3 linked regions of the Lytechinus pictus genome follow. The protein of the gene in region 3 interacts with the protein of the main gene of each other region in a pairwise test. Links are inferred from orthologs where the notes say so. Each region holds a gene or a part of one and is shown on either strand. Other genes may lie near its edges.

Region 1 (10,881 bases), on a different chromosome or scaffold from region 3:
TCCTACCTGGGTTATATTCAGATTACTGCCCCAGGGGAATGGGTACTTAGGAGAAAACCACAAATCCCATGATAATTAAGTACATGGCCTATGGGAAAGTTGTCCTTGCCCCTTGTCATAATTTACTTACCGAGTTGCCAATTTGAAATCAACATAAAGCAGTTATAACTTTTTTATTGCTTGTCCGATTTCTTTCAAACTTTTACCATTCTGTTTAATTTATTTTTCTCCTTCCCAACACAACATTAATTTTATGGCCAAGGCTGGATTCCCCTTTAATTGCGGCATATCAACATCCTTTTTTACGCTATTCCATATCATGTCTTACGTATTCTAACATAAAAAATCATTCCTAGAGTGTAATCCAAATGACTCTATCCTGATATCATTCGGGAATGATTGTACAGACTGTATACCCTCCCTGAAAATTGCGGGATATCCCGATATCCATTGGCATCAGTGCTGGAGCAGCTAGAGGATTATGTGTTGGGGGGGGGGGGGCACAAAAATAGATATCCCCACATGGACAAAGGATAATCCTCTGCTCAGACACCCATGATATCCACCCCCACCCGCCCTTTCTCTCCTCCCTATAGATTTAGGCCAATGGCGCCAGGATATTTTCCTAGGGGATGGGGATCGACGAAGTGATATATATATTTTTTTCATAATGAACATGTTTGTACTCCTTTCTCCTTTCATTTCTCTCTTTTTTCTCTCCCCTTGTATTATCTACTTGAAAAATCATGAGGGCCGTTCTTCTTACACTGTAAAAAAAAATACCGCCCTATTTACTTAATTCAATTATGTTAAGAAACTGCCTTAATTTGTTCGAGTATTTATGAGTTATGGCAGTTTTAAGTAAAATTTACTTATTTTCTTTGCATCCATTTTACTCAAAATTAAGTTACAATAATTAAGTTACAATAACTTAATTCAATTAAGTAAAACAATCACTAAAATATCAGTGAAAAAAATCACAAATGGGGGAGTGGACTTTCGGGATTCCGCTCCCCCATCGTCCCACTTGGTGGCATCATTTTCATCTTAGACATGATATATCCAAACATTAGACTTTGTGCATTGTCACTTACCTGTACATGTACAGGTACTGACATTGATATTTATATGTGATCGTTTCATTCTTACAAATAAAACAGTGAGAATAATAATTTATAAGCATCGAAAACCTAAAAAGAAATCTGAAATTTTCTGCTAAATGACTTTTAATGTTGCTCTTTCTTTGATTCAACATAAGAAAAAAATAGTTAGCACACCCTTATCCAAAACAATTTCAAACACAAATAGATATGACAATTATTAATAAAAAAAAACATTTACTTGCTCTAATAAATATTCATGCATTATTTAAATATGGCGTTAATTGAAAAATATAAGTACATTCAACTTGATTTTATAAGTAATACTCATCTTTGCCTAATTGAGTTAGATTTACTCAATCAAAGCAAGCTATCAATATGTGAATTTTCTTTAATGTATATTGAACCCAAATAAATCAAGTAAATCAAGTAAATTAAAAGACAAGTTAAAACTACTTAAAAAAACGAAAAATAATTACAAATTGTAAATTCTACATTAAGTGTTAATTACCGATTCAGATTTTTTTTTTACAGTGTACTTTTCCTTTTTTTAAGGATGTTGTATTGCCTTCTCTCAAATCAAAATACACATTCACATTCCATAAGCAAGTTGTACAAACTATTTGAAACATGATTAAAATTATACAATAAATCCATAACAAATATAATTATACAAATTATACATCAAACTTCAAAGATACTAGAAATTAATACTAATGCGTTTCAGCAATTACAAAATGAAATGTTAACAAGATGTGTGAAATGATATGAGAGGGAAAAAAGATAAAAAGTGTTGTTCTACCTCCTAACCCCCCCCCCCCCCGTCCCCAGGTTAGGAGCACCCTCCCATTTTTATGCCTATAATCTACATGGAAGGGACTACAATTCTCCGTATTGTTTTTTATTTTTTTCTGTGTTTTTGTTTATTTTGTTTTGTGGTTTTGTCTCTCGTTGTATATATACATTTGCCTCACTCTCCCTATACATTCTTTTAATTAAGATTTTCCCATTTCCTTAAATGTAGAGACATCTTACCTCTACCTAGCGCCAGTCTTCTTTCTTCCCATTCTTCTTCTTTAAATTTCCTTTTAATTTCATCCATGGTTATAAGTGCACCCTTTTCCCTCCCTTTGAAGATTAAAAATTTGACAAATAATTGACTAAACGTTCCTTTCCTTCGTCCTTTAATTCTACACCTACAAGAATTTCCTCCCAGCTTAAATTACCCGTAGAAATAAAACCAAACATCTCCTTACAATTATCCCAAACCAGACAAGCATATTCACATTCCAAAAATAGATGGCGATATGTTTCCTCCTCTTTTTTACAATAACAACAAAGATTATTCTGTGAGATTTAAAACGGAACAAGTGATAATTTGTATAAGCAATGCCGTGCAACATTTTAAACTGAAACTCTCTTAATCTACTGTTCAGAGTACATTGTCTTGGTCTCACAAAAATGTGTTCAATCTTTTCATAAGAAAAACTATATTTGTTTTTTTAACCTTTCGAAAACATCAGGTATTGCGAAGTTACATTTCATAAAATTTGCATAAACGTTTTTAGATACTAACTCCTCTATTGACAAAATTCTTTTTCCAGATATAAATGATATTTCTTCCCTAAAAGAAGCCTCTTTGCTATCTATTTTCATATTTCGTTTCCAGCTGACTGGAAAAGTTTTATAAATTGACTCTATCAAATGAAAATCATTTATGTTTAAACCCTGTCTTCGGAAGTACGAAAATGACCTTCAGTTTCCATCATAATCCATATGTTTCAATCTGTAAATATTTTTTTCATATATTTTTTGGTTAAATATGCATTTCCCTTCAATTCGTAAAAAAATTATTGTTAAAACATATCTCATTTCCTTTAAATGTTTTAGATTTTAATTCTTCGTCTCTATCCATACTTTTTAACAAATCTATATAAAATTGCGGCAATGCTATCTCCATCAATCCGAGCAAGTAATCGCATGAAAATATAAAATTTCCTCCCAGATGTTTTGTGGAATAATTGAAATATTGTTTCCATTTCATTGCATTATTTTCTTTTAGTCTTTTAATCCACATAACTCTCTGTGCCTTTATTAACCATTGAAAATTCATCATTTTCAAGCCGCCTTGATGGTAATCTAAATACATCATTCTTTTGTTAATCTTTTGTTAATCTGCCACCCCACAAAAAAGTAAAAGCCAACTGATCAAGTACAACATAAACCCATCCTGGGATTGGTGTGAGAGATGCCACATATATGAATTTTAAAAATATAAATTGCTTTAATAATTGTATTTTGCCCATCAAAGTTAAATCTCGTTACTTCCACCAGTTTAACAACTTCTTTATTTTACTTAATATTTCTTTATAATTCAATCTTTCTTTTACTTCTACATCTAAAGAAAAAAATACACCGAGAATCTTTATAAAATCCACATTTTGGCCAAAAGATAAATCATATTATTTTCCTTCAGAGGAACCTAATAATAAAACCTTCGTCTTATCGCTATTAACTTTAAGTCCTGATACTTTTCTGAATTTTTCTAAAATTTTTATTACTTTTTTGACTGAATCTAGATCTCGGACAAAAATAGATATCATCTGCATACATAATCTGTTTTACTTCTTCCTTTCCAAAGGAAATTCCTTTAACATCATTATTATATCTTATATTATGCGCTATAATATACTTCTATGTATAAAATGAAAAGATATGGTGAAAGCGGATCTCCCTGCCTTACCCCTCTTTCCACATGAAAATAGCTTGTAGAATCTCTTCCATTAAAAATACAACTTTGGCTATTTGTATATAATATTTTGACCTTTTATATATAGTAATCGATCTTTCTCCATCTGTCAGATTTTCTTCAAACACGTGATGGCGCTATTTCATCAAGAATTTCAAGCTGATGTAGGCCTATGATATCACCAAGCTCTGTTGATCTAAAAAAATCATTTGAATGGTTAGTTTATTTTATTCACGATTAAAATACATACAGTGTAAACACAATGGGCATAAAAGTCATGATCAAAGTCAACGATTATAATAATTATGTAACAATATTTGAACAATGAATGTAATACAAACTCATTTTCGGATAATCCGTTTCAGATTGGCTGTGCCACTGTGGCCAATCTGTTCTTCCCCCTGAAAAAACCCTCTTTCTTCAAGGCTTCGAACACCACCGTATCTCAGACTTCCGAACTATTTGCCCCCCCCCCCCTTCACGGGCTTTTCCTACCTTACACCGGCCCCCTATCGGGAGGGACTTCTTACAGGTAAGCTCAGAATATCCCTCCATCCCAGACTCCGGTAAATGTAACCGCCCGATGGCGATGGCCTATGTATCCCCTTACTTTTGAGAAAGAAAATATGTAGTGTTATCATCAAATAGCCGTATCAAAAATGCATTATAAAACCTGCTAAATATTGTGAATTATAAAAACACGAAATCTCGCGCTCGGACGCTCAATAAATTCATAACATAATTTTGGTCCCGATAGTATGTCATAGCCTTGTTGCAAGGGTTACACTAGAACCTTTGATCACAAAATAATGCCTCAAATACCTTATAGCACCCTAATTTCTTTACATAAGAAGGTATATCATGAATTGTTGATTAAAAACCCATATTTTTAAACTATTTTTTCCATTTATCGACTTGAAATAAGATTTAATCTCATGTAACAATATATTAAGTATTTCATTTTTTCAATTATTCATAATCATTCCTTTCCCTCTTTGCATCAAATAATCGTTGATATGAATTGAACTAAGAGCATTTTTTGTTGGCCATAAAACTTTTTTTACACCCCTTCCCCATTTGGCAGTATTATAAACCCCATTATTCAACTTGCCTGATGTTCTGCGTGCTATTCCCACTTACTGGATGGTAAGTGATTGTGGTCTGCATGAACTTGACATACATACATGATCATCATACTTTAGTCCTCATTATTTTGCTCGTTTAATTATAAGGCATTTTCAAAGTTTATTTTCTGTGTCCGAATTCTTACTTTAAGTATACACTCCCCTTTTTCTTCTCCTCCTTCTTTTTTTCTTCTTCTTCTTCTCCTCCTCCTTCTTCTTCTTTGATCTTCTTCTTCGATCTCTTCTTCTTCCCTTTCTTCTTCTTCTTCTACTTCTTCTTCTTCTTCAAGTTCTTTTTCTTCATCATCATCTTCTTCTTCTTCTCCGAAGTTCTTCTATCCCTTGGTTTTCTAATCTTTAGTCTCTCAATTTTCTTTTTTGTTGTTGTTGCTTAATTACAAATAAAAAAACAACATGTTTCTTGACCGTGTTCCTTGTGAAAGCCCTCAAATGTGAAGTTTCCCAATTACAATGCCGGGAAACACCTAACTTGAATATCGCTTGCTATTAAATCATTGTTATTTCACCTTATTTCAGGAATGCTTCTATTTATTTTTTGATATAGTTATTTTTTTTTATAATCCGAGATGACGCATCCATTAAGTGCGCATGCGCCGAACACCTCAGAATCTATAACGTGGCGAAGATACCTCCGAGAATCCAGAAGAGATAAGATCATCAAATATCTTGTTTTTGCTTGATTTCAAAACGTTTTAAGAGGTTATCTTTTCAGAACCCCAAATTAACAACTTAGGATGTCTTCCTCCGGAGATTTCAGCAATCCTTTGAGGAAATTCAAGCTTGTTTTCCTTGGCGAGCAGAGTGGTAAGTTTGCCGGTATCGCACTGGCGACGCCCGGCCCCCTTTTCGTGATCGTGTGCTGTATGATATCGTATCCAACGCAAATGCCATTGCCAATGCATGTCTATGTAGAAATAATACGTGTACCGGGTAACAGATGAATGATGCGGCGCTAATGCAGTTTCTCACAGGAACTCTACCCTAGCCAGGAGGCTCCTAGAGAGTAAAAATCATAACGTGTGCTTACCCTCAATGCAATGGAGCCTGGAATTGCTTCCCATACATCTACACACACCGCCCAAAAACCTGAAACTTTCGCCCCCGAGGGCCGAGACTAGCCAGGCGGCTTCTAGAGAGTAAAAATCATTTACTAACGAGTAACGTAAGGTTACTCTCGTACGAAGCCAGGCCTTCTATCTCATAGACCCACACAGAGCCAGACAAAACCTGAAACCTTCACCCCCGAGATTTCTACTTTCCTTCTAAAAGATCTAGCTCTAAATCATGTACATGGGATAAAACTTAATTTCCGACATTTCTACGCTCTCGTTGTTATTTTTAAAACAAGAATTCATCAAAAAAATGAAAAAATATTGTGAAAAGACGGAAGAGACTTGCCCGATGTTTACGCCGCCATCTTGTTTCTTATTGTACTTCCCCAACGTTACGGACACGAGCGTCGCGTAACGTTGGGGAAGACAAAAATTGGAATCGGCGAGTAAGCTCCAACATTCTTCAACGAGAAGAAAATCGGTGCTTAAATGTACATGTATAAATGACAAATATTTGGGGAAAGTTGCTACATATCGTTAGGTAAGTTAAGTTTCATAGAAAACTGATTTTATTTAAAATCTAATAAACAATTCGCACATTCCCGCAATCCCATGGAAGTGTTGCATGCGCTGTGCCTTGATATTCCTGTGCGCCAAGCCTTGAAATAAGCAGTTGCAGACCAGGGGCAATTTTTCAAAAAAATTGCCCCCGGCTCACGGGCTTTTTACAGGAACCGGGGGCAATTTTCTGGAACCAGGGGCAATTAAAAAAAAAAATATATAACGGTGAACCACACTGCAAATTTGTTTATAGTAAGCGCAGCTCCTGCAATTTTTTAATTAGTACATGAATAGCATGCTAAGTAATAGGCTTATTCAAACATTTAAGAAATCAGATTTAAATGTTTAAGTGTGTTTTGACACCCTCACTCCACATCCCCTTCACAACCACACACACATGGGCTTATTTATTTTTCATCTTTAATGAACCACGAACAATGAACCCCCCCCCCAAAAAAAAAAATCTAAATAAATGAATAAAATAAAAATATAAAAAGAGAGAGAGAGGGAGATGGAGAAAGAGAGAATTCAGATCAAATAATAATAAATTTAGAAAAAAATATACAAATTTTAAGGTTTTTTTCATGGTTAGAATCACGGGTGTGGGTGAGTGTTTGTGTGTGATTGTGACTGTGAGGTGCATCTGGATTGCATATAAATTATGTTAAAGAAATAAAGAAATGAAATCAATATCTAACTCAGTCTATTCAAATTCCAGCACACAGGCACAGGCTATGTACATGTATTGTAGGTTCATGTACCTTAAGTTTTTCACAAGTTATTTGAAAATGCAGATCTCCACAGAAAAATGCCTTTCATTCTGGGAGTCTAAATTCTGTGAAAATGTATTCATTAATAACTTAAATATTCATCACAATGAAGAAATCATTAAGTTTTTTGACAGTTTTCAAAAATTAACATGAAATCTAAACTCTATCTGAAACGGAATAATTCACAACTATAAGCTAAGTAATTTTGGATTATTAAGGCTCCGTTTTGACAAGCAAAGTCGGCGACTGTGAGGATAAAAGACTCGTACATCGTATGTGCTGTGAACAGGGATTTATCTCCTGTGCAATTCGAATTACTATATCACAGAATTGTGATATCCCAACTGGAAATGTGTGCATTAGAAATTGCACATGGTGAAGTATGGAAAAACTGTCACCGCTACCGGAATCACGCGCGCACATGTATTACAGAAAAAAAAAGACGGACGTAGCTCAATTTTTATGGTACAGAAAAAAAGATGCACTTGGCAATTTGAAACTGTGCTTATCGTAAATTGAAAGTTACTTGATTTTGGCTTTTCAGATATTTAAATTACATGTATGAAATGGCTTCACTGCTCACTCACGATGGGCGCAATTACCTGGAAAATATTTGCATCCGGCCGTCAAAATTTTGATGATTTGGGGGCTTTATGGGCGCAATTGATGGCTTTATGAGCGCGAATTTGCGCTCAGCGCCGGCTTATTTCAAGGCTTGCTGTGCGCCAAAAGTTATATGCAACGGGTCTGGTGGGGAAATTTGCTCAAAGTTGGCCGATACGAAACTGCATTAGCACCGAATGAATCATGGTATTATGCTATTGGTAATCATTATTAGGCATTATCGTGAAATTGGAAACCATTTTGCGATTTCCACTGGAAAATCAACAACAAGGCACGACTGGTGGCTTCCTATATTCAAATTAACCACTTGCTGGCATATTTCTCCTGTTCTCAATTTAGAATCTACCTTATTCCATCAAACTCAAAGAGCTTAAAGGGGTACTCTGGGCTGAAAATATTTATATAGATTAATTGAGTAAAATTCACAGAGCAGAGCAACATGCTGAAAATTTCATCAAAATCTGATGATCAATAATAATAATAATTTTAAAAATGACACGTAAGAAAATACAAAAGAATAAGTGGTGTTATGCAGTCATCTGTTAGCTCATTGAATATTCATAAAGACATGAAAGATGCAAATCTGGAAAATACCATAACTTTGTTATTCTTTGTCCAATTTTGATCAGATTTTCATTGTTTTGATTGTCTGTATTTTGTTCAAGTCATATTATTTTCAGCCCAGAGCAGAGTACCTCTTTAAGTAAGTCGAAATGGGAACCATCATGGAAATTTCTCCAAAGAGTTGTATGCTGGTGCCATTTTGAAGAGTAAATTAGACAGTTCAGATCTACTAATAAGAGTTATTTTGTCAGTGATGATTCTGATTAAATGAATCTCACTTCTGACACTACATGTACTATAGTAAACTGTATTTATCTACTAGCTGAAATTGGAACCAGTGTGTACAACTCTGTAGGGAATTTTCCATAGCTTTGATGACATTAAAGACAGTTTACTGGTGAGATTTATTTTTTTTAGTGATGATTAAGATAAATAACTAGCAAAGTGTTTTATAACTCAGGGACTCAGTTTAAAGGGTTGCGAGAGTGATCACTCGCGACCGCTCCCCTTAATCCATTTCAGGTAGAGCAATTTATCACTGGCCTAAGGCTAAGCGAAACGGATTTTCTGTGACATAAAATGATAAATGCAGAAATGCAAAAAAAATAGAAATCATGCAACATCATACTGTACACTTTTGTATTATTTGTACAACATTTTACTTCCATGTTTAATCACTATTCTGACATCACTTGTGTGTCAGTCGATGTTCTGTAAAGAGCCAACCTCATTCTCAGTCAAGGTTTTATAAATAACACACAATTACAGTACATTTAAGCAATAACACGCATTTAAAATGAGATTCAATTCTATCTTTATTTTACAAGCCGATTAAAAAGGCTCTTTTAAAAACAACATACCGGTACATGTAAATTCAGTATAAACAGTTTAAAGATAACAATGTAAAGCAGCTCATCACAGAATATGTAAATGTTCCATAATGCATTGAGGTAAAATGAAATACATGTTAACTAATCATTATATTGCATATATATATATTCCAGGCATCTGATTTTTTGTCTCCTTTGGTTGTGGGTTGTAATTTTGTGTACATTATTCCATCCATTTTGTAATCGGACAAAAAAGCTTCCTGACCTTTTGTATGTCAAAGAATAACTTTTTTGCAGTGCTCCTCTACCACTCCCCTTAAAAGTTTTAGGAGTGCTTTTTATTGCTCCCCTCATAATTATAAAATTGAGTCCCAGTTAACTGTATTTGATTAAAGACAGTTTACTTGTGGGATGATTGTAATACTTAGTAGTCAGTGATGTTTCTGACAAAAATCTTACTAGGCCAAGACTCTAGTAGACATGGGGTGTGTTCAATGTCGATTTTCAAATTTAAACAGCAACATGTTCATGATTGAAAACTCAATTACAAAATACCAAACGCAAACACAATCAGTGGTGCACCGTTCAGTGTCGAAAATATAAAGCTGTTTATATGTTGATTGTCTCTAAATTTCCCGCTTTCGTTATTGCAGCAGTAGTGCGCATTTTGCCCCATCACAAGAGAGGTCAGTTCTGGCACCTGTTTGTGTAGGCTTCCACTACGAGAGCAAATTAAAAGATGTTTCAAAACTCAATTGTGTTGAATGTCGCATTCGTGATGCTCAAAGTCCTAAAATTTGAGCTAATCGCATTAACAAACGCATCTTGTTCGACGTTTAAATTTTCCTTGGAATCCTGATTTGAAAGACGTTTACTTTTAAGACTGGGAATGGAGGACATTGAACACATACTTTGTTTCTCGTCATTATATCCGTGTTTTGTAATCTCGTTTTCAGTCACGTTTCATGTTGCCATTCAAATTTGGAAACTGACATTGAACACACCCCTTGACCATCTGGACTCGCCGAAATGGAGAATTGATTTGTACATGTAGATCTACACGCTGGTTCCCATTTCGGCAAGTAGATTTATAAAAACGGTCTACTCGTGACTTATTTTGTCTGTGATGATTCTGAAAGATACAGTTTATCAGTGAATTTTATCTTGTTACTGATTTATGTAGTGGATGTGATCACTTTCATATTTTTAGATATTTTTTTGTCATATTGAAAAAAAAATCATTATTTTTTTTCCTTACAGAATTTGTAATCTTTATTTCAAAGAAAAGTAGTGTACAATGAACAAAGTCAAACATTGAAAGAGTCAACAATTGAAACCTTTACTGGTTCAAGGCAGGTTGAAATTGACATTTTATTTCAAGTACTGTATTTGTGGAGAGTTGGTTTTGTTCGAATCTACATGTATGTTTCAGTGATGAGAATGTAGCAGACGATTTAAAGTATCAGGTCTATTTCCATATGATAGG
Region 2 (10,803 bases), on a different chromosome or scaffold from region 3:
AGTGTTGTACGACCTCCAGTCAAGTAAATGCGACTACTTAGTTGTGCCACCTCTCGCACCAAGTCATACAACGTTGAACAACACTCGCACGATGATCGCCCGACCGATGGTACGACCCCGGGTACGGCCTGATGCGAGTGAATCGATCGTATTTGATCGCGTTCGGATTTTGAACATGTTCAAAGTTCAGATGCGACCAGTCACGATCACCTCCGACCACCTCGAGTTTGTGCGATCGTCTACAACTACTGCGAGTGCTCGCAAGACGCCAAGAGATCGATCGTGCAACACTAAGAAAAAACTGTTGCAGGCGGTCGTAAACTGGTCGGACGTCAATTGTGAAAGGGGCTGAACGGTCGCATACATGCGAAAGCAACGGTAGTGGAATGTTGTAAGCCGTAATTTCGATCGGTCTTGCAACAGTCTTATATTATCGCACCCAGTCGCAACACTGGTCTCTGTAGGTCTCCAGCACATGTGCAAGTGTTGTACGACCTCCAGTCGACTAAATGCGACTATACTTAGTTGTGCCACCTCTTGCACCAAGTCGTACAACGTTGAACAACACTCACACAATGATCGCCCGACCGATGGTACGACCTGTTGCGAGTGAATCAATCGTATTTGATCGCGTTTGGATTTTGAACATGTTCAAAGTTCAGATGCGACCAGTCACGATCACCTCCAACCACCTCGAGTTTGTGCGATCGTCTACAACGACTGCGAGTGCTCGCAAGACACCAAGGGATCGATCGTGCAACAACAAGAAAAAACTGTTGCAGGTGGTCGTAAACAGGTCGTACGTCAATTGTGAAAGGGGCTTTTAAGTACATGTTAGAGTCACAAACAGACTTAACAACATTGTCGTGCCCACACAATGGGATTATAATGTTACAAGCAAATAAATTCACATTTTTTGTAAGAAAATTGAGATATACATGTACATGTTCGATGTATTTCCACAGCTCTACTTCTTTGAGTTTAAATTCAAAAGCACTGGAATATTGAGATCATTTATCATAAGGACATCCTCCCATAATGCGACCAACATGTGTGATAGTCTGCAGGCACAGACCCTGATTGGAACTTTGATCAACAAGTGTGCCTCCATGCAAAGACTAGCACATACAAAACTTGCTGTTCCAATACCTGAGCGAGAGAGCCTTCAGTACACAAGGCATGAGTAGGCTGCACATTCAGACCCTTAACTCGAGTGAAGGGTTTGCCCAGCAGACTACATGTATGATGTCACACTTGTACAACTACCCAATTACCTTTCTGAATATTGAAAATTGTCACTTTTATAAACTCTACTAGAGTTCAATGTGTAAACTCTTAGTACCATTTTCACACTGGCTTCACAAACCGCTACAGTCTCTCGACTGTAGCAGTGTTGCCTTCAGTGTGAATTGTTGGACCCGCAATATACTACCCTGGGATAACCTTGCCTTGCTGTAACTCCGCAACAAACTTTTGCTCTCACACCATAGTAATAGCAGAAGGACAGAAACGCGACTGTCGCAGTGTTCCTTCAGTGTGAAGGCACACTGCTACAACACTGGGATAAACCACTTGTGATTTGTTTACTTTAATACCAATGTACATGTATTCTACATAATGCATAATTCTACATTATGTGTGTGGAGCTAACTTCTTCTTCGCTGCCACTTTCTTCTTTTCATATTTTTCATAGTTCATGAGTCCTAATCTTTGACATAATAAAGTAATAGATTACAATCTGTTCTCTGTAACTGAAAAATAATGAAAATAATAGCAAAACGTAAAAGAATAGGTCTATAGCTCCATAATTGCCAAAGTAACTTAATTGGCTCACATAAATAATCAAGAGTGGGCAGAGGATCTCAAGCAACCCCACCCTCAAGCAGCACTTCCAGTCTATCAGAGTCGGGTCACTCACAGGGACACAAGCCTACATGTTTGCTAGGGAGGTAATGAAAATCACCTGCTGCAGTGTGAATGGTTACATAAAATTTTATCCCGGGATAATTTTTCTACTGTGAATGCAGTCTTAGCGGGTTAATAGCCAGTTTACAGCGGTGTCGTCGTCCTGCGACAGCACCAGGATAAATTTGAAAACCAGCGCGAAGATGATATGATAGCATTCAAAAGTAAACTCTAATAGAGTTTATAAATATAATAATAGTGATGATTTACTCTCTATCATGATGAATCACATGTTTTGTTTTGCTTTTTCATGGGAGGACATGTTATAGGGGTTCCATAGAATATATCATGGACGAAGAGTTTATTTACTATCATTTAGAACAAACAAAATACATGTAGGTGGAATTGGAATAACAAATTTGGATGTGTACAGGGGGGGGGGGGTGCACTTCCATTGACCAGTGGATATCATGCAAGTCAATGGGGTTTTAAAAAAAAAACACACCCTAAACAAGTATTTTCTATGATCATATTAAAACGCACCCCCTTAACGATAGCAGTTTAAAGCCCGACCCTTAACCAGAATTGGGTAAGAAACCCTGCCCTTAACAAGTATAAACCCCCTAGTTACAGAACCCCACATTTATCAAGTATTCCCACTTGCATGGACTGGAGTATCGAGGATAAATCACCCTTCAATCGGTCGGAGGTAAATTGCCAGGAAAAATTGGACCCTTAAAACTCAATCTTGTTAGCACAAAAGGTATAGAACTCGTCGACCCTTTTAAAAAATACATTCTAGTTTTTACAGGGTTGTTTGATTTAAATCATGTCGATTTAAATCATGATTTAAATCACGATTTAAATCACTTGATTTTTTTTTTTAAATCACTGATTTAAATCAACTTTTATGAAAAAAATTAGTTTTCTCTATTTTCTCTTCTTCTTAACAGATACTTTCAATGTAATCATTTTCATTTCTGTTCCACATGCTTTAGAGATACTTTAAAAGAATGATACACCCTCATGGAGTCTGATTTAACACCACTGTTTTATTTTCAAATTGTAAAACAAGCAAAACTGATGAAAACAACAAGTTTCTAACGAAGTAATGATAAATAACTCTCTGTATGTACACCAAACTGTTAAATCTTCAATAAAATAATATATTAAATCTACAAAGGTGCTCAAAGTCCACAACTTGGATACTTTTACAAAACAGCTGAACTACTTGTATGTACCTCCTTCTTGTTACTATTAATACCCATTCTTTCAATTACTTAAGTTGCAAAACCCTTAGTTTATTAGCTATTACCAGCTGTTAGTTGGGAAGTCCCCCATGTGATAGTTCTAGGAAATATTCCTAGCTAAAATCCCCCATGTGATAATTCTAGAAAATATTCCCAGCTAGAATTCCCAAGGGCAGTATAGGAACCCTAACAGGCCTTTAATAATGTCAATTTTGTTGGAAATTCTCAAGTTCTTTGAGTACTTCATGCATTGGAGTAACACTTTGGATGTTTTGGACTGACTGATTTAAATGTATACATAATACATAACATTACTTGGGCTTCCATAAAATGTCCCTCTCTATAATGCAAATAAATTATTTAAAAAAATAAAAAAATAATCTGTATATAAGTGGATTATTGTGTCAAATAGTACAATACACAATGTTCAAAAGACTACTTGACCACTATTATTGGTGTAAAACAGTTTAAATATAGTTTAAAACTTGTTAAGTGTGACCATTATTTTTCGTTGAAAAAAAATCAAAAAAATCTGATTTAAATCATAAAAATCCGATTTAAATTAAAAAAATCAGATTTTTTTGATTTTTTTAAAAAAATCAAAAAAATCAACAACCCTGAGTTTTTATCACCCTTGCAAATCACACCCTCTTCCAATCTCGTATGTTACTGCATTAATATCTGCAATCTGCATCAGATCTTCCCATAACATGTCATCAGCATTTGTTTTCTACACCCTTCTTACTTACAGTTACATGTCGTACATACATGTATCTTTTTCTACGTTTTATTAAATAACTAATCCACTTGTCAATGGAAGTGCCCCCCCCCCCCCCTGATGTGTCCACCAATTTTTGTTGCCGCTAAACGTCGGCCCTTGATTTCACAGCAAATCGCAATATTTCTACTGCTCCAATTCTTCAGACGTCGCTGTATATCACCAGGAGCTGGACATAGAGGAACAGAGGATCCTGCGTCCAGGACTGAACGATGAACCTTATGTCTGTTACCAAACCAATGCCGAAAATGGAGCCATTTCAAGTTTCAAATCAAAGTTTTTACTCAGTTTCAACTTTTAACTGGAGTTAACAATCTGACATTAAATGCCATGCCCATGGCAATGGTCTGTTTGTGATTAAAATTTATGAATAATGAAAAAGCATCGATAACATAATTCTACCGACAGTTTACAAAACTTTTCATTTTACACAGAATTACTGGACAAGAGCAAAACATTCATCAAAGAATTTCATTAGACTGTAACCCGGCGTTTATCCATTTGGAGGGCGTGTATCTCTCATTGCCCACACACATGACCGTACACACTCCGTACATTCACCGGATCTTACTACATGCAGTGGAGGATGAATCACACACACAGAGGCCATACACGTTACACGTAAACGATACAGAAAAAATAGACTTTACTGAAACCTGTGAATACAAACGGCTTACCTGCAAGTGCTCCTGAAAGCGAATGGGCAATACTTGCGACATCTTGCTGGATTTCAATATCCACTAATATATTAAAGTTATTATTTCTACAACCTGAAGAATTTGGAAAAATCAAAGAAATTTATTAACGGTGTACCGGCCAAACGGACTCATGCAGGCCGACATGAGTAGAGAAGAATCAAGTAGTTCCGGATTAAATATTTTATATTCATCCTATGATATGCAATTTCTTATTGATGGAATCATCATAAATCCGAAGTACCTTTTTATTTCATTTCAAGTTTTTTATTATTACGCTTGAAATATACATTCCATTTGGATAGGAAATATGGAATCACTTTCCTATAACTACATTCTTACGCAGTGATTTTCTATCACTGCGCTTGCCACATATTGCCAATCATCATCGAGCGAGACGCGAGCGCTAGCGGAGCTGAGAGTTGTAATTCAGTCAATTCATCGGCATTCGCTTGAGAATAGCTTCCGGGTTTCTGACTCGAACAAGTCGCGATTTTTGTGGTCTGCTAATGAAAAGTTGCCAATAAAATCAATAATTTTAGCAAGACCGTGTAAATCTAGCTTACAAAACTCCGAGGAGGGGTAGAGTTTAAGGCAAATTTACTTAAAATGCGTAGTTTCATTGCTTATATTCATCTTAAAGGGAAAAGCAGCTATCAAAACATAAAATCCTGTAAAACGCATGAAAATGATCAATACGATTTGTATATACCAATCCCGGATATCAATTCTTTTTTTTCATACAGATTGTACATGAGATACTATAATTTTCTAAATGTCATTGTTAGCATGATAATGATCAGCCAGGTAAAGTATCAACGACGAATAATTCTATGCTATAGGCTGTTAAGATTAAATGTAGTCAAATTATGGGGGTAATGTAAATATGCAATCAGGATCAAAGGGGGCGGAACCCGTATAGTGCAAGCAGACGACATGTCGATAGTGAGTTTCGGCCTAGTACTGTGTATCGAGAATGTGATGGGGCTGTTACTGCATACAACTGATCAGTGCTACATTTTCTCGAATTCAGCTTTGTCCCAGAGCCTGGGAAGCGGGGGTGCTTCAACACCCCCCCCCCAAAAAAAAAAAAAAAAATTCCTGGGGGGATCATCGCTGCGTGTATTATTCTCCATAGACACAGCACCCTCAGGTATGTGCAAAAATGGGAAAATGTAACCAAAAAGACCTTCATAATTCTTCTGGAACAATTTGACCTCCATTTTGTTTTGAAACTTTTTTTCAAAAAATCGTTCCCGTGGCCCTGAATTCGGCCCAACTTGAACTTTGAAATTCCCCCACTGAAATTGGTGACCATAGAATAAAACCATTTATCTACTTTGGATCGAATTTACACCCATATACAAAAAAAACCCTTATTACATAATTAAAAAATAACCTAATTATGCATGCATAGGAAAATCTGCATGCAATATCATCGGCCAATGATTCATTGTTCTATGTAAAAATGACTGATGCCAATAAAAAAGACTAATCCGACAAATAAATGTCAATTAGATTTTGATTTTACTTTTTGATTGTTAATGACTTTCTCTAAAGGCCTTTTACTTAAGGAACCAGGCGTGTGAAAAGGAGAAAGAAAAGGGGAAGACAAATGTCATGATAGAATTTCATATCATTTAATTCATTTCCACGAAAACAGCAAAGTAAATACAGTATTCACATTTTAAAATCATTATGAAACATACAAGTCAGGTAATTTTTTAAAAATTTAATTACTACAATATAACAAAAAAGGGAGTTTAATGTAAATAAAATTATGAATAATAAATAGCTATCTTATGGGGGAAACATTGCAACATTATACATAAGCATGTGAATCAGATTCCTTAAATCATAAATTGATTAAAATGATCCTATAATGCCCAAGTAGTTTTCTGCGTCATTTGTAGGTTCTCATTTGAATATAGGACTATACTACCCAAACAAAATAAAGTCCACCAGACCAAAAATTGACTTGAGTAAATGGAAAAAAATTAAAAACAAACGTCTCTTTCATGAACCACGGATCAGGGGCGATGGAACGTTATTACGTTGGGGGGGGGGCACAGCCAAAAGAGGCACTCATTATGTAAAAATTGGCATTTTGGTGCAAACGGATATTTTCCCCATGAGATTATCATCTGCGTGAAGTACTTGTGTGTTTTGTATATGAAGTTGAGAAAAGCATTATTGAAAACATTTCTGATTGATGAAATTTATATTTAGGCTTTATTTTTTTCCTCGAGAGAGCGTGGCTAACTTTTTTAAATTTTTTTTTTTCAAATCTGAAGTTGTAAAACTCGCTTTATAACTTTTGAGCACCACTTCACTTATACAGTGTCTCCAAGAATTATTAATTATTCGTTCACTACAACATTGCAAGATGAGAAGATGGACTATATTTTTTTTTTTTTTTTTTAAAGCAGTATTTCTGCATTTATTAATAAATCAAAATTACAAATTTATAACAATGATATAAAATGAAACATACATACTGATCAAGTTACAAAGGTGACAATTGTATAGTAGTTAAGTAGATATAATAGACATAATATTCATGTAAACAATAACAAATGAATGTAAATGCAGAGGCCAGCTATCGTAAGCTGAAAGCTTGAAATAATAGCAGCCAGGGGAAAAGAGGCTACATGGAAACCATAATAAAAATACCGAGTCTTTATTATTTAAAAGTGATGTCACTTATATAGCTTAAAATATAATAAAAGGAAGGGGGGGGAAGGGGCAAGATGAAGTGTGTGCAAGTGAGTGCGAGTGCAGGTGATAATTTATAAGTATTTAGATAAAAGGTACCTCTTTAGTGAAGCTTTAAATGATATAAGAGATGCAGCTTGTTTGATATCATTCGGAAGGTTGTTCCAAACATCCGGGCCGTGATGCCGTATTGTTTTGTGAGCAATTATTAGTTTTGGGTTTGTTAAATGAAAGTCAGATGAATGTCGAGTAGGGTATGAATGAATGTCTCTATTATAGACAAAAATATTTCGAAAGGGTGTTGGTATAGTGTTGGTGGAAAATTTGTACATAAAAATAGCAGTTTGATAAGTGTGAATATCGTAGATCTTCAATGTTTTAAAATCATGAAATATAGGATCAGTATGAGCGAGATAATGGGAGTGATGACAAATGCGAAGTGCTTTCTTTTGAAGGCGCAATATTGAATCGATTTTGATTTTGTTACTATTTCCCCATACAATATTACAATAAGATATATACGATAAGATAAATGAGTTATAGAGCATAAGTAACGATCTTTGAGAGATATAATATTTTAATTTATACAAAATGCCTATGCCTCTTCCTGCCATCATGCTTATATTACGAATGTGACTACTCCAAGTTATGTTAGCATCGATCACTACACCTAAAAATTTAGTTTCTTGTTTTTCGTTAATGGGTATATCATTGATATAAATATTATCGCGAAATATATGTTTAGAATTAATGTGTTTGAAGTACATGAAATTTGTTTTATCTATGTTAAGTGAAAGTTTGTTTGATTTAAACCATATTGATAATTTCTTTAATTCTTGATTGAGAGTTGCATCAAGTATGTTTAAGTTGTGGTGTGAATAAAATATGTTGGTGTCATCTGCGAATAAAACATATGTAAGTAAGGGTGATGTGTTCACAATGTCGTTCATATATATTAAAAATAATAAAGGTCCCAGGATTGAACCCTGTGGTACTCCACATATTACGGGGCATATATTAGATGATTTGGATTTAAAATTAACATATTGGCGTCTATTAGCTAAATAATCTTTAAACCAAGATAGTACGATCCCTCTGATTCCATATGTCTTTAGTTTACTCAGTAATATGCGATGGTCCATTGTATCGAACGCCTTCGATAAATCCATAAAAACCCCAATAGTGTGCTCCTTTTTTGAAAGTGAATCAGTTATTTTATCATATAATTGTAAAATTGCATAATCGGTTGAATGGTTTTTTCTGAAACCATATTGATTGGGGATTAATAATTTGTTAGTGTCCAAAAATGAGTATAAACGATTGTAAACAATTTTTTCAAGTATTTTGGAAATGCTTGGTAACAGTGAAATAGGGCGGTAGTTTACAATCCGACATGGGTCATCTTTTTTATATATTGGAATAATTTTGGCAAGTTTTAGCGATTCAGGAAAAACACCTTGAGAGAGAGACAGATTGAAAATATGTACAAGTGGAGAAGCCAGGAAAAAAATTATTTGTTTAAGTAGATATACACTTATCCCATCATGGCCACTGGATTTGCTGGGTTTTAAGGATCGAACAATTTCTAACATTTCCTGAATATTTGTAGGGTTGAAAAATAAGGAGTGTTCGTTATGGTTATCTAAATATTGTGAAAAATCATGGTCATTGGTAACAATTTTCGAAGCTAGGTTTGGACCAACATTAGTAAAAAATGAATTGAATGCGTTTGCAATAACACTGGGGTCTCTGATGTGGTCACCATTTTCTAAAAATTCATCATTGTCTCGATCATCTTTTTTCTTACCTAGAATGTCATTTATTGTATGCCATAAAGTTTTGTTATTGTCTTTATTGTTTTCAATTTTGTCTGAGAAGTAAGATTTTCGTGCTAAACGGATTACAGATGTTAATTTATTACGATATTTTTTGTATTTATTTTGATGTTCTATTGTAGGTGATTTAAGTGATATCTTATACAATCTATTGCGAGTAAATATAGATTTAATTATTCCTTGAGTGATCCATGGTTGTTTATTCTTCTTTTTGTTTGAAGTTATTTTTGTCAAAGGTACGTTTTTGTTGTAATAATGAAGAAGTTTGTTTATGAATATTTCATATGAATTGTTAACATCCTGCTCTTGATAAACATCTTGCCATGTTTCTGTAAACAGATCTGTTTTTAGGGAATCTATGTTGCGCTTGGTCTCTTTTCGTCGAGTAGTGTGTTCTGTGTTGCATTGTTTATGTAAGCGATAGGTGCTTGAACATATCGTGAAAATAGGTAAATGATCAGAGATATCATAATATATTATTCCATTATTATTGGTATTAAATACATTTGTAAAAATATTGTCAATAATTGTATGTGTCGCATTTGTTATCCTCGTAGGTTTATCAATGAGAGGTTTAAAAGAAAATGATGACATCAAAGTGATCATGTGTTGGCCGAGGGCAGTATAAGGTATTGAGAGATCTATATTAAAATCGCCCATGATGTAGATGTCCTTATTTTCACGAGATACAGTTTCGAGACATAATTCTAATCTATCTAGGAATATATCAACAACGCTGTTTGGTGGCCTATATATTACACCGACTATTTTATTTTTATGTTTATCATCGATAATTTCTATGAATAAAGTTTCTAACCCGTCAAGTTGAATATCGTCCCTTATTTTATAATGCATATCATTGTGAATATAAAAAGCGACCCCACCTCCCTTACCTTGTTTACGATCTATATGGTTAAATGTATAATTATCAATTTCGAATATGGGAGGGGTTGTTGAGTGTAACCACGTCTCGGTCATACCTATAATAGAGAATGGAAATTTATTCAATATATTTAAGAATTCACTGAAAGTTTCAAAGTTCTTTTGTAAGCTTCGAATGTTTATGTGCATTAAGCTAAAGTGATTTGGTTTATCGTTTCGATTTTTAGTATTAAAAGCTGAAATAAATTCTTTAGCAGTGTAATATTTGCTCTGGGGGGCAAATACTTCATCATTAAATATGTCATCCAAATGAGGTACATTTTGGTTTGCAGTACGATTGGGAGTGCTCGGTGCGTGCAAGGTGCTAGGAGGGGTGCATGTGTTTTGCGTTGAGTGTATAAGGGTGTGTTCACGCGTGACGGTCTGACATACTCAAGGCTAGTGGCAACCTGTATTTTGTGACATTTGCTACAAAAAAATTGGGGGGGGGGGGGAGAAGGAGGAAAAAAGGTAAAATAGCTGTTTGCAAATAATTATGTTAAGATAAAACATAATGTTCGTGGGATTCTATTACCCTCAACAAAATGGGCAACATTGCCTGGAAAAAGAATTGAATGTATATACATAGTACAGCTGCACATGGTTTTGTGTACACTCAGGAAACTGAACGAACAATAGATCAAATAAAATTGCATGTATTTTTTCCATCACAATAAATTAGACAATGTTATTGTTCAAAGATA
Region 3 (11,000 bases):
CATATGGGGCCTATATGGCTTTTCCCACCTAGAACCCACATAATAAAACCATATGGGCCCCATGTGGTATCTATATGGGCAATGTGCTCTTATTTCAGGGTCGACTGAGCCCAGATAGAAACATATAAAACCCATATGGGGCCTATATGGGTTTTCCCACCTAGAACCCACATAATAAAACCATATGGGCCCCCATGTGGTATCTATATGGGCGAAGTGGCATAATTATGGATCGCCTGAGCCCATATAGGAACATATAAAACCCATATGGGGCCCATATGGGTTTTCCCACCTAGAACCCACATAATAAAACCATATGGGCCCCATGTGGTATCTATATGGGCGAAGTGGCATAATTATGGATCGACTGAGCCCAGATAGAAACATATAAAACCCATATGGGCCCCATGTGGTATCTATATGGGCGAAGTGGCATAAGTATGGATCGACTGAGCCCAGATAGAAACATATAAAACCCACATGGGGCCCATATGGGTTTTCCCACCTAGAACCCACATAATAAAACCATATGGGCCCAATGTGGTATCTATATGGGCGAAGTGGCATAATTATGGATCGACTGAGCCCAGATAGAAACATATAAAACCCATATGGGTTTTCCCACCTAGAACCCACATAATAAAACCATATGGGCCCCATGTGGTATCTATATGGGCGAAGTGGCATAATTATGGATCGACTGAGCCCAGATAGAAACATATAAAACCCACATGGGGCCCATATGGGTTTTCCCACCTAGAACCCACATAATAAAACCATATGGGCCCAATGTGGTATCTATATGGGCGAAGTGGCATAATTATGGATCGACTGAGCCCAGATAGAAACATATAAAACCCATATGGGTTTTCCCACCTAGAACCCACATAATAAAACCATATGGGCCCCATGTGGTATCTATATGGGCGAAGTGGCATAATTATGGATCGACTGAGCCCAGATAGAAACATATAAAACCCATATGGGGCCCATATGGGTTTTCCCACCTAGAACCCGCATAATAAAACCATATGGGCCCCATGTGGTATCTATATGGGCGAAGTGGCATATTTCTGGGTCGACTGAGCCCAGATAGATAAATATAAAACCCATTTGGGGCCCATATGGGTCCTCCCACGAATCCATATAATAAAACCATATGGGCCCAATGTTGTTTCCATATGGGCGGTGTGGCTTATCGCCTGATCCCAGATAGAGACATATCTAACCCATATGGGGCCTATATGGGTCTTCCCACCAAGAACCTACGAAGTAAAACCATATGGGCCCCACTTTGTATGTATATTGGATCGCTTGAGCCCAGAAAGAAACGTATCAAACCCATATGGGCCCTATATATTGGTCCTACCTGAAACCAAAAAATAAGTAAACCATATGGGCCTCATGCACCATCTATAGGGGCGATGTGGTTTATCGCCTGAGCCCAGATAGAGACATATATCAAACCCATATTGGCCCCATCTGGGTTCTACCTGGAACCCATGAAATAAAACCAAATAGGCTACATGTGGTATCTATATTGGCGGTGTGGCTTATCGCCTAAGCCAAGATTGAGACATATTAAACCCATACGGGGCCAAATGAATCCTCCAAACTACAACCCACATAAAATAGTAGAACTAATAATTGGCCATAAGCAGTATCTCTGTAGGCGATGTGGTCCGATATAAATCTATTAATCTACTGATAGACACATAATAAATCCATAGGTAGCACACACATTTGTGTATCGAATGGGTCTGTATGTATACATTGGCGATACAGGGGCCGAAGGGACCGCCCCCCCCCCACCCCCATATTGGTGGTCTAAAAATCAGGGGGGAAGGAAAAAGAGAGGAAAACAAAAAGGAGAGGAAATGGAAAAAAATAAGAGTGGACAGGAAAAGAGAAAAGATAAAGTGGGAGAGAGAGAGACCGGGCTTTGCATGTAACCGAAAGGAAATGGCGCTTTATAAATGCCCAACTATTATTATTATTACATTAAAGAAAAAGACGAGGGGGGGGGGGGCTGGGAACAATATAGGCCGTTATATCGTGGAAAAAATCTGCTCACGCTAATTCGCACTCGCCTTTTTTAGATATTGTGCAGGGGAATGGTTAACTCATCACTTCACGGGGAATTATTTCATAAAAAGAAGAAAAACTATCAAAATGTGTGTATGTTTTTGTTTTGTTTTGTTTAATTTGTTTGTTTGTTTTTTTTTGTTTTTTTGGGGGGGGGGTAAATCACTATATTAGGAGGATTTCAAAACAAAATAACACGGTTGGTCAAAAAAAAATGTTTTGAAGAACATTGAAATTTCAAATCAAATCAAATCAATTTATTCAAATAAAATCCACAGTTTAGGATTGTCATCAAATATGATAAATAATGAACGTGGCAAAACAGATATATATACAGTATATATATATACAAGTAAATATAAGCAATCGCCAAAATATGTGTTCATTCGAAAAGAAAATACATTATTAAACATTTTGCCAAACTCTTACTGATTTCAAGATATTACAATTAAGTCATTACAACACGTCCATGGCGTCATCTATTAACACGAGTGTATCATAGTCCGTCATTATAATTACTCATATTATTTAGTTACATTAATTTTACTTATATCGTAATCATTACTTTTATTTGCATGATGTACAAGAAGTAACCTGATTCGCTCAGTTCTCTAAATGACGGCACTATGGTATAGGCCTATTATCATAATTTTTCTTGTTGCGGGTTAAGGATGGGCGCGAGTACGTTGATTGATTTCTAGTTGTTTTTGTCGCCCTTGTTCATTCATAAATTTACAATTGCTAATTCTTATCTTCAAATAATTCCTAACTTATAGATTATCAATGTCTAGTTATAAATATTTCTCTATGTAGGGCCTACGTTTAAGGTCTTTATATACGTTCTCAGTTTACTACAATAATTCTCTTCCAGTATCTATCTTCCTGAAACTGTACCCACTGATTTAACTTGATGTCGTTTAGGTCATTTAGGTTTTCCCAAATATGAGAATAACCTATATCTTTCATAGATATTTCTAGCTTTTGACAAAATCCGTTCTTTATTTTCATGTTTGATTGATAAATGTTAATTAGTAGGTTAGGCTTAGCCTTTGCATTTGTTACTTGACACTAAAATCCGATCATGTATTTTAAAGCTCGACATAGATAGTAATCAAGGTATATTTCACATTGTTGGTAAATCTCGAAGGGGTAAAAAAAGGGGGGGGGGGAAAGAAGAAGAAAAAAAAAGATTTTCTTCATTTTCACATTTTTTGATACACTTATGATGAGAACTCAACCCCATAAAAGTTCGCTTTGGAATGCCTGCCTTTTCTAGAAATCACATGTTTAGTGTTGATTTTAGGGATTTATCGGGTACCCTATGTACCGGGCCTATGTATACGGCTAATTCGATTGATGATAAATAGCTTACGGATAAAAAAAAATGTTTGTGATCTTACAATTCACAGGTTAGGTTCTAATCGTGCATCTTAAAATAAAGAAAAATTTTGAATTTTCAAAGGAGAACACGCCCAGATAGCAAAATATCTGGGACCCATATGGGTCCAATGTGGGTTATCTGGGACCCATATGGCCCATATGGAAACCATATGGGCTAGAAGTGGGTAGGTCCACATGGGGCCCATCTGGGTTATATCTGGGCCCATATGTACCAGATGAATATCATCTGGGCTGGAGATGGGCATTTCCAAGTGGGACCCAGATGGGCTAAAATATGTGGGACCCATCTGGGTTATATCTGGGCCCATATGTACCAGATAAGCCTTCTGGGACCCAGATGGGTCACATCTGAGCTCAATATCTCTGGATGATCGATCTGGACTGCACTCATGAATATTCATTACAACAGTAAATGATCAAAATTTTAGCTAATACGGCTACAACAATTAATATGTTTATGTTTAAGCAAGGATTCCACCATGAAAAGTTTCAGAAAAGTATGTAATTTATTACCATGAAATTAAAAATCAAAACATTTAATTTCAGGAGAAAATTTTCAAGGTTAAATATTGAAAATTGTTATTAACCATAGCCTGTCAAGTATAGCAAACTCGCTCTATATATAGAAGTCAATAACAAGATTCAGTGGTTAGGTGTAGGATAGGATAGGATTAGGATTTAGGGTTAGAATGTAGGATTATAGGATATGATAAAATGATAAGGATTAGAGTATTGGGTTGTATAGAAAGTCACCTTAATGATACAAATTAATATATTTTTTTTAATTGATTAAAACATCGTGGACCCACATGGCCCACATGGGACCCATATAAAAACACAGTATTGTTTTCATATGGGGCCCATATGGGAGCAATGTGGGCCTGCCCATATTCAACCCACACTAAACCCACTTGGCCCAAATGGGCCCCACATAGGGTGTACATATGGGTCCCAGATTGGCCAAGTGGGGCCATACATAGCCCAAATGGGTCCCATATGGTTTACATGGGTACGATGTGGGCCTGCCCATATTTACCCCACGCGAAACCCTGGCCCATATGGGCCCCAGACGGGGTGTACGGTGCAAAAAACACATGGGTCCCAGATGGGCCAAGTGGGGCCATACATAGCCCACATGGGAAATCCATATGGGGCCCATATGGGAGCAATGTGGGCCTGCCCATATTCAACCCACACTAAACCCACTTGGCCCAAATGGGCCCCACATAGGGTGTACATATGGGTCCCAGATTGGCCAAGTGGGGCCATACATAGCCCAAATGGGCCCCATATGGTTTACATGGGTACGATGTGGGCCTGCCCATATTTACCCCACGCGAAACCCTGGCCCATATGGGCCCCAGACGGGGTGTACGGTGCAAAAAACACAAGGGGCCCAGATGGGCCCATACATAGCCCACATTGGCAACCCATATGGGGCCCACATTTTTAGCCCTGATAAGCCCACAAGTAACCCATATGGGCCCCATATATTTTGCTCACTGGGAATCTTCCTGAGATTGACTTTTGAGAGCACGGTTATATACACGATGCTTCTGTCTGATCTTGCTCTTAATTTCCCTAGTGATGTAAGGCAGGTTGAATCTAGTACTGCTCATCTTACTAGGGATATACTTCTCTTTTAGGTATGTCAATTTACATGTCAATGATTCCCAGTTCAAATTGACAGACTTGGTACCAGGACTGTTGATGAAGAATTCTTCAGAAAAGGACTAAAGCTCAGTTCTGATCTTATCAAAGTTTGCCTTCTTATAATTGTAGACTCTGTGAGCTTTACTTTTTTGATGTTTGACAGTACCAGTGAAGTCAATCTGAACAACAGAATCATGATCGCTGATCCCTGGAATCGGCTTAACAGAGTCAATCAATGTAGGATTAGTAGTAAATAAAAGATCTAGCATATGCTGTTGTCTCGTTGGGAAGTTCACGACCTGTTGGAGATTATGGTGGCTAGCAATATCAAGAAGAAGGGTGCATGGTTGGGTACTACTTTTGTAGACTCTTGCAGGGCAAGGCTTGACTGAATCAGAGTCCCAATCAATGTCCGGCATGTTAAAATCACCAGCAAGTACCTTGTAAGCATCAGGAGGAAGTTTACCCAAGGAAACTTCAAGCCCAGGGAGGCCATATTAGGATCATTATATAATGGGGTTGTAAAACACTCCGAGATATACATCTTTCTGGCCATGGGACCTCAGCTTAGTCCAAAAGTACTTCGCAATCAGCGTCATATTCAGGAAGAGCTACTGCGAGCAGCGTTTTCCTAACTGCAATGAGGACACCTCCATGACCATCATTGCGGTCTTTCCGCCATACGTATCAAGATGTGTTAGAAAAAGCTCAGAGTTAGAAATAGTATCATTTCCCCAAGTTTCAGTTCCAAATATTATATCTGGATGAACAGAATTTATAAGATTGGATAGGGGTTCGACTTTGCTTCTGAGACCTTGGAAATTGATGACTACAGCTCTCAGTTTCCTATTACCAGATTGCGGGGACTTCTTACGAGAAGGTGAAGGTTTGTCACCACTCGTACTCGTTGGTGAGGACATATAGCAATTGGTGCGAAGAAGGGAGACTTGTCCTCAAGTAGAGAGGAAAAACTGTTCGAACATTCAATCTCAGAGGAGCTATCGAATAAGGACGCTGCTTTGAGGGGTTTGCCCCATCATATTTTTGTTTTATTCCTCATTAATTTATTTTTCATAAAAAGTAGATATCTAACGTTAAAATTGTACCACTTACGGCTTTTAAGGACACGCCCACGCCCACTTATATGCATGCGCAAACCTATGGCCCATGGCGCAGACGCACGCGGGGTGAACTCCAGCTCCAGATACCGTGTATACGGCATACCGTACAGATACGATATCGATGACCAGAGAGAAAACGTACGGATGCGATGCGCTTGCTCAGTTTTGAGCATAGAGATGTGGTTTTGAGCTAGTTCGGAATCTCTGGGCGGATACGCCCCCGATCTTTGCTAATACAAAACCGACTCATGCAGAGTTTCCTGGCGCTAGCGCATATTGCGCTATAAATCAAATGCATAATGCGCGCGCGTAGGAAACGTTCACTACATTCCCGTATGTTGCATTGTCGCGAGTCTGCGATTGTACCATAGACCCAGGACTAAGAAACCTTCAAATTTCACCTTTTCAGCATCGGTGTTGTTTTTTATAAGAAGCACAATGATCTCCAAAATTCAAGGATGAAAACGGGTGAAGTCCAGGACGCTGGATTCGTCATTAACCTTGTGGATCGACTGTGAAACTCGAGTGGTATTGTCACCACAGAGCCAAGGAGTGCAGGCCACCCGAGTCTAGCCGGCTCCAAGTCCAACATTACCGGTATCACTTGCTGTTGAAAATGCAGTCATTCGCCATGTTCGACTCGGACGATGGTTCGGAAACCATCGAAGAGTTACGGGTTGAAATCAGCCGTTTGAAAGAGGAACTCGCTTTGGCCAGCAGAGAGAAAATACAGGCTGCTGAATACGGTTTAGTTGTTCTTGAAGAAAAGCAGGCAATAAAGCAGCAATATGAAGACCTTGATTTACTCTATGAAACTTGTAAACAGGAGCTTCAGATGGCAAAAGAGGTAGGCCCTGGCCTAGTAGTACTAGTAGTGTATACCCAGTTGTTGTGTGTCCGGACAGGTTGTGTGTCCGGACGATCAATTTTAGAAAGTCATTTGGAAAAATTTACAAGGAAAGTTTTATCAATTTTTAGTACAAAATGTCAGGAAATATTATAGAGAACAAAATAGAAGATGATTACAACTATTGATTTCGTATTTGTAGTGTAATCCAATGACAAAAAAGAAGGCTTCAAAAATATAAAGTGTCCGGACACCCGATCCCCCATCCTACTACTAGTAGTGGGGCGGTATTCTGAAAATCGTGTTAACTTTGGTGTTAAATATCGTTGTTATGTCTCTGATTTAACACGCCCCTAACATACCCCCAAATCGGTATTCTGATAACCATGTTGTTATCATCATTTCGTGTTATCTTCAGCTCCTTGCTCCTACTCCGAGTCCTAGTAGAGTCCTAGCCTGGAGGCGTCTGGGGAAGTATAAGTCATCTACTCTACGTAGCCGTAGGCTTACTCCCCACTGACGCCTGGGACGCCAAGGTATATTCACGCACGTACGGCCACAAAACCTGAAACTTTGGCTCCCGAGATTTCTACTTTCCCTCTAAAAAAAAAAAGATCTAGCCCTAAGTAAAACATGTATGGCAGTGTATCCTAGGCTATTGGCATTGCCGGACACCTTTATTTCAGTGCTTTAAAAATGACAACTAGAGGAAATACAATCAAGAAAAATTCACACTTGCTATTCCAAATATGAAAATTATGAATATGATAAAATTATTTTATATTTACCAACCGTTTTCTTTGCATCGCACTTGTCGCATACCCCTCCACAAAAAACAATTATTTTTGTGCGCGACAAATTACATCATGATTCCGGACGCGCGCCGGACGGGTAAAGATATCCTTGATTATAATGATGTAAGAACAAATTTTTGTGATTTTTTTCTTATATCATATCATGAGTAAATTCTAAGTATTATTTGCTTTTTTTATATCGAATCTGAGCAGATGTTGGTAATAAATTCGTGTTTGATAACTTATTTTATTTTGTCTTGTTAGCTGCATGTTCCATGGCACTTTCCAATAATAATATGCTCGCGTTCGTATCGTGACGCTCATCAAGTTCTATCGATGCGCTGCCAATCGACGGCTCTACTCACGGTAAACCTCGCGCACGGGTACCTTGAGAACTAGCCGTCGACGATCACCCACAATACACCACACCTCATCATTCGATCGAAGGAGTGGACGAGATTGAAATTCGGCAAATCAGGACCATATTTCCGTTAGAAAATATATCAATTGTTAATACAAAACTATGTTATATGATATTTTAAGCATTTTCTGTAATTTTTAGAGATAATTAGGTAAAAGTTTGATTTTTCGCCTTGTTTTTGCAATCTTGTTCTATGTATTGCTCTGTGAAATTGAATTGCGGAAGTCTTACGGTACGAATTTGTTTTAGAACGCAGTGATACGCGCGTCCGGTAACATAATAGTGTCCGGTAATACAATACGTGACTTAGACCAAAAGCTTCAGTCTCTGTATTTTGGTTGTTCCGCTGAACTGCGTTGGCTCACTCACAAATGGGGATTATAGTAAAATGTCAGAAATTGTTGAATAAATCCCCAGAAACGACGGTTATTCCTGTCTATACGTGACTATACATGGGGTTCAACTTCATTTCCAACATTTCTGTGATATCGATTTTGTTTTTAAAGAAGAATTCAATAAAAAAACGAGAAAAATGTTATGAAAAGATGGGAAGTGCTGACGGCCGTGTTTACGTCGCCATCTTGATTTCTTTGTCTTCCGCTTGGCGACAGCGCAATTTGCGTGCTGTCGCCAAGCGGAAGACAAAGAAATCAAGATGGCGACCTAAAGACGGCCGTAAGCTCTTCCCATCTTTTCATAACATTTTTCTTGTTTTTTTATTGAATTCTTCTTTAAAACCAAAATCGATATCGCAGAAATGTTGAACTCCATGTACATGTTTTAGGGCTAGATCTTTTAGAGGGAAAGTAGAAATCTCGGGGGCGAAAGTTTCAGGTTTTGTGGCCGTACTTGCGTGAATATACCTTGGCGTCCCAGGCGTAAGTGGGGAGTAAGCCTACGTAGAGTAGATGACTTTTACTCCCCAGACGCCTCCAGGCTACATGTAGCTCCTCCCACATGTCCCACTCTGCATCTACCGTACTGTATTTAATCCAATCAAATGCGTTGTAGTGTTAAAGAAAAGATCGCGCAAAATTTTCAGGGGAAAAAATGAGTGCGAACGCGGTAACATGAAGTCTGCATTGTGAGTCCAGGTTTTTTGACAGTTCACTTATTAATGAGTTTTAATATTGTATGACTTTTTAAGTTAGTTTTTTCATGCTTAGAATCTTGGATGTGGGTGTGACTGTGAGTTGAACTTGGATATAAATGAATTCAATATCTAATTTCTACTCCATCTATTCCAGTACAATAACCTGTACTCGGCCATGTAATAAAGGCCCACATACCCTAACTTTTCCTGAAGTTCTTTGAAAATGCAGATCTCCACGAAAATCGCATTTCTCTATGGGGGAGTCTAAATTTGGTGAGAATGAACTCATTAATAACTGAAATATACATGGCAATGAAGAAATTAGACCAAAAGCTTCGGTCTCTGTTATGTTGGTTGTTCAGCTGAACTCCGTTGGCTTCACTCACCAAATACAGAGACCGAAGTTCTAGCGCGATCTGTACAGGGGACTCAATGGCCATATGTTTATGTATATAAGTTCGGATAAAACAGGGAGGTGAATAGGGTTGCAAAGGACTGGAAACTTTCCGGAAATTTTGGAAAATTTCCATTTAAAGTTTCGGGAATTTTCAGGAATTTTCATTTTTTCACAAAAAGTGATAAATTCTCTTTTTAAATGCAAAATTATAAATTGATATCCTAAAATATCATATTTTCCATTTGTATTTTTACTATTCTTCATTTTTTAAATTGCCTAGGGTATAAAATATTCATCAAACTGTACATAAATACATTATAGTACATGTACCCGGTATATGTAGTAACATGATGGAGCATTATGTACAAAATGAAGCTTTTCAATTCAACATGAAAAAAATAATACTTTGCATTACACTTTTTTTTCATTTGTCTTTAAATGTTATTGTTTTTTATGTGAGAACCTGCCATTATATAATAGCATGTTATTAAGAGAACATTGCCCCCTACATGTAGTCTGCATGCACAGACCCTTATTGAAACGTTGATCCACAAGTGAGACTTCACACAAGACTAGCACGAATACAACTTTCTGTTGAACAAAAGGACCTCCTGTACACAAGTCATTGGCAGAAACCTTAGGCTGCTTATTCAGACCACTTTCCTTGAGTGAAGGGTTTGCCCTTGTCTGCTGTGCAAAGCCTTCACTCGAGTTTAGGGTCTGAATGTGCAGCCTACTCATGCCTTGTGTACTGAAGGCCCTCTTGCTCAGGAAACAGCAAGATATTATATTCTAGTCTTTGCATGGAGACCCACTTTTTGATCAAAGTTTCAATCAGGGTCTGTGCCTGCAGACAAGGTTTGCACAGCAGACTAATCCCACCAGCAGCTATGGCACTGGCTTGAGTCTAAAAATGGGGAAATCAGGTCCAGGAACAAGATATGTTATATTACTAATTTATTTCTGAGATGCCCCCCTCCACCCCCGAAAACATGGGGAGGGGCAAGAAATAACAATATTACATGTATAATGGGCGACTTTGAAAACAATCAAGATGAATAATTTTTCGCAAAGGGAAGAAAAAATGCACTATTAAAGTTTGCTGACCTCAAATGACCTTTGACCTTGATTATGATTGAGAAACTTGCTATCAATTTCATATCTTTTGTGACATTAAATGACAATCTC

What was found.
Region 1: the proteins of protein bicaudal D homolog 1-like (region 3) and ras-related protein Rab6-like interact in a two-hybrid assay, tested with the Drosophila melanogaster proteins (3 studies listed by BioGRID). The link is inferred for Lytechinus pictus from reciprocal best matches to the Drosophila melanogaster genes BicD and Rab6.
Region 2: the proteins of protein bicaudal D homolog 1-like (region 3) and clathrin heavy chain 1 interact in binary tests that used the Drosophila melanogaster proteins (3 or more experiments, as listed by UniProt). The link is inferred for Lytechinus pictus from reciprocal best matches to the Drosophila melanogaster genes BicD and Chc.

The regions. Positions count from the first base shown.
Region 1 is NC_087260.1:28,909,866-28,920,746, forward strand, and holds the start of ras-related protein Rab6-like, read left to right. Parts: upstream 1-5,578; 5' UTR 5,579-5,728; coding exon 5,729-5,798; intron 5,799-10,881. UniProt on the Drosophila melanogaster protein: Protein transport. Regulator of membrane traffic from the Golgi apparatus towards the endoplasmic reticulum (ER). Mediates membrane trafficking during egg chamber growth and organization, possibly upstream of exocyst component Sec5.
Region 2 is NC_087246.1:33,380,230-33,391,032, reverse strand, and holds the start of clathrin heavy chain 1, read right to left. Parts: upstream 4,992-10,803; 5' UTR 4,653-4,991; coding exon 4,611-4,652; intron 1-4,610. UniProt on the Drosophila melanogaster protein: Clathrin is the major protein of the polyhedral coat of coated pits and vesicles.
Region 3 is NC_087247.1:56,902,726-56,913,725, forward strand, and holds the start of protein bicaudal D homolog 1-like, read left to right. Parts: upstream 1-6,876; coding exon 6,877-7,107; intron 7,108-11,000. UniProt on the Drosophila melanogaster protein: This protein is essential for differentiation. It may play a role in localizing of Nanos (a maternal determinant) activity in oocytes. Functions redundantly with BicDR.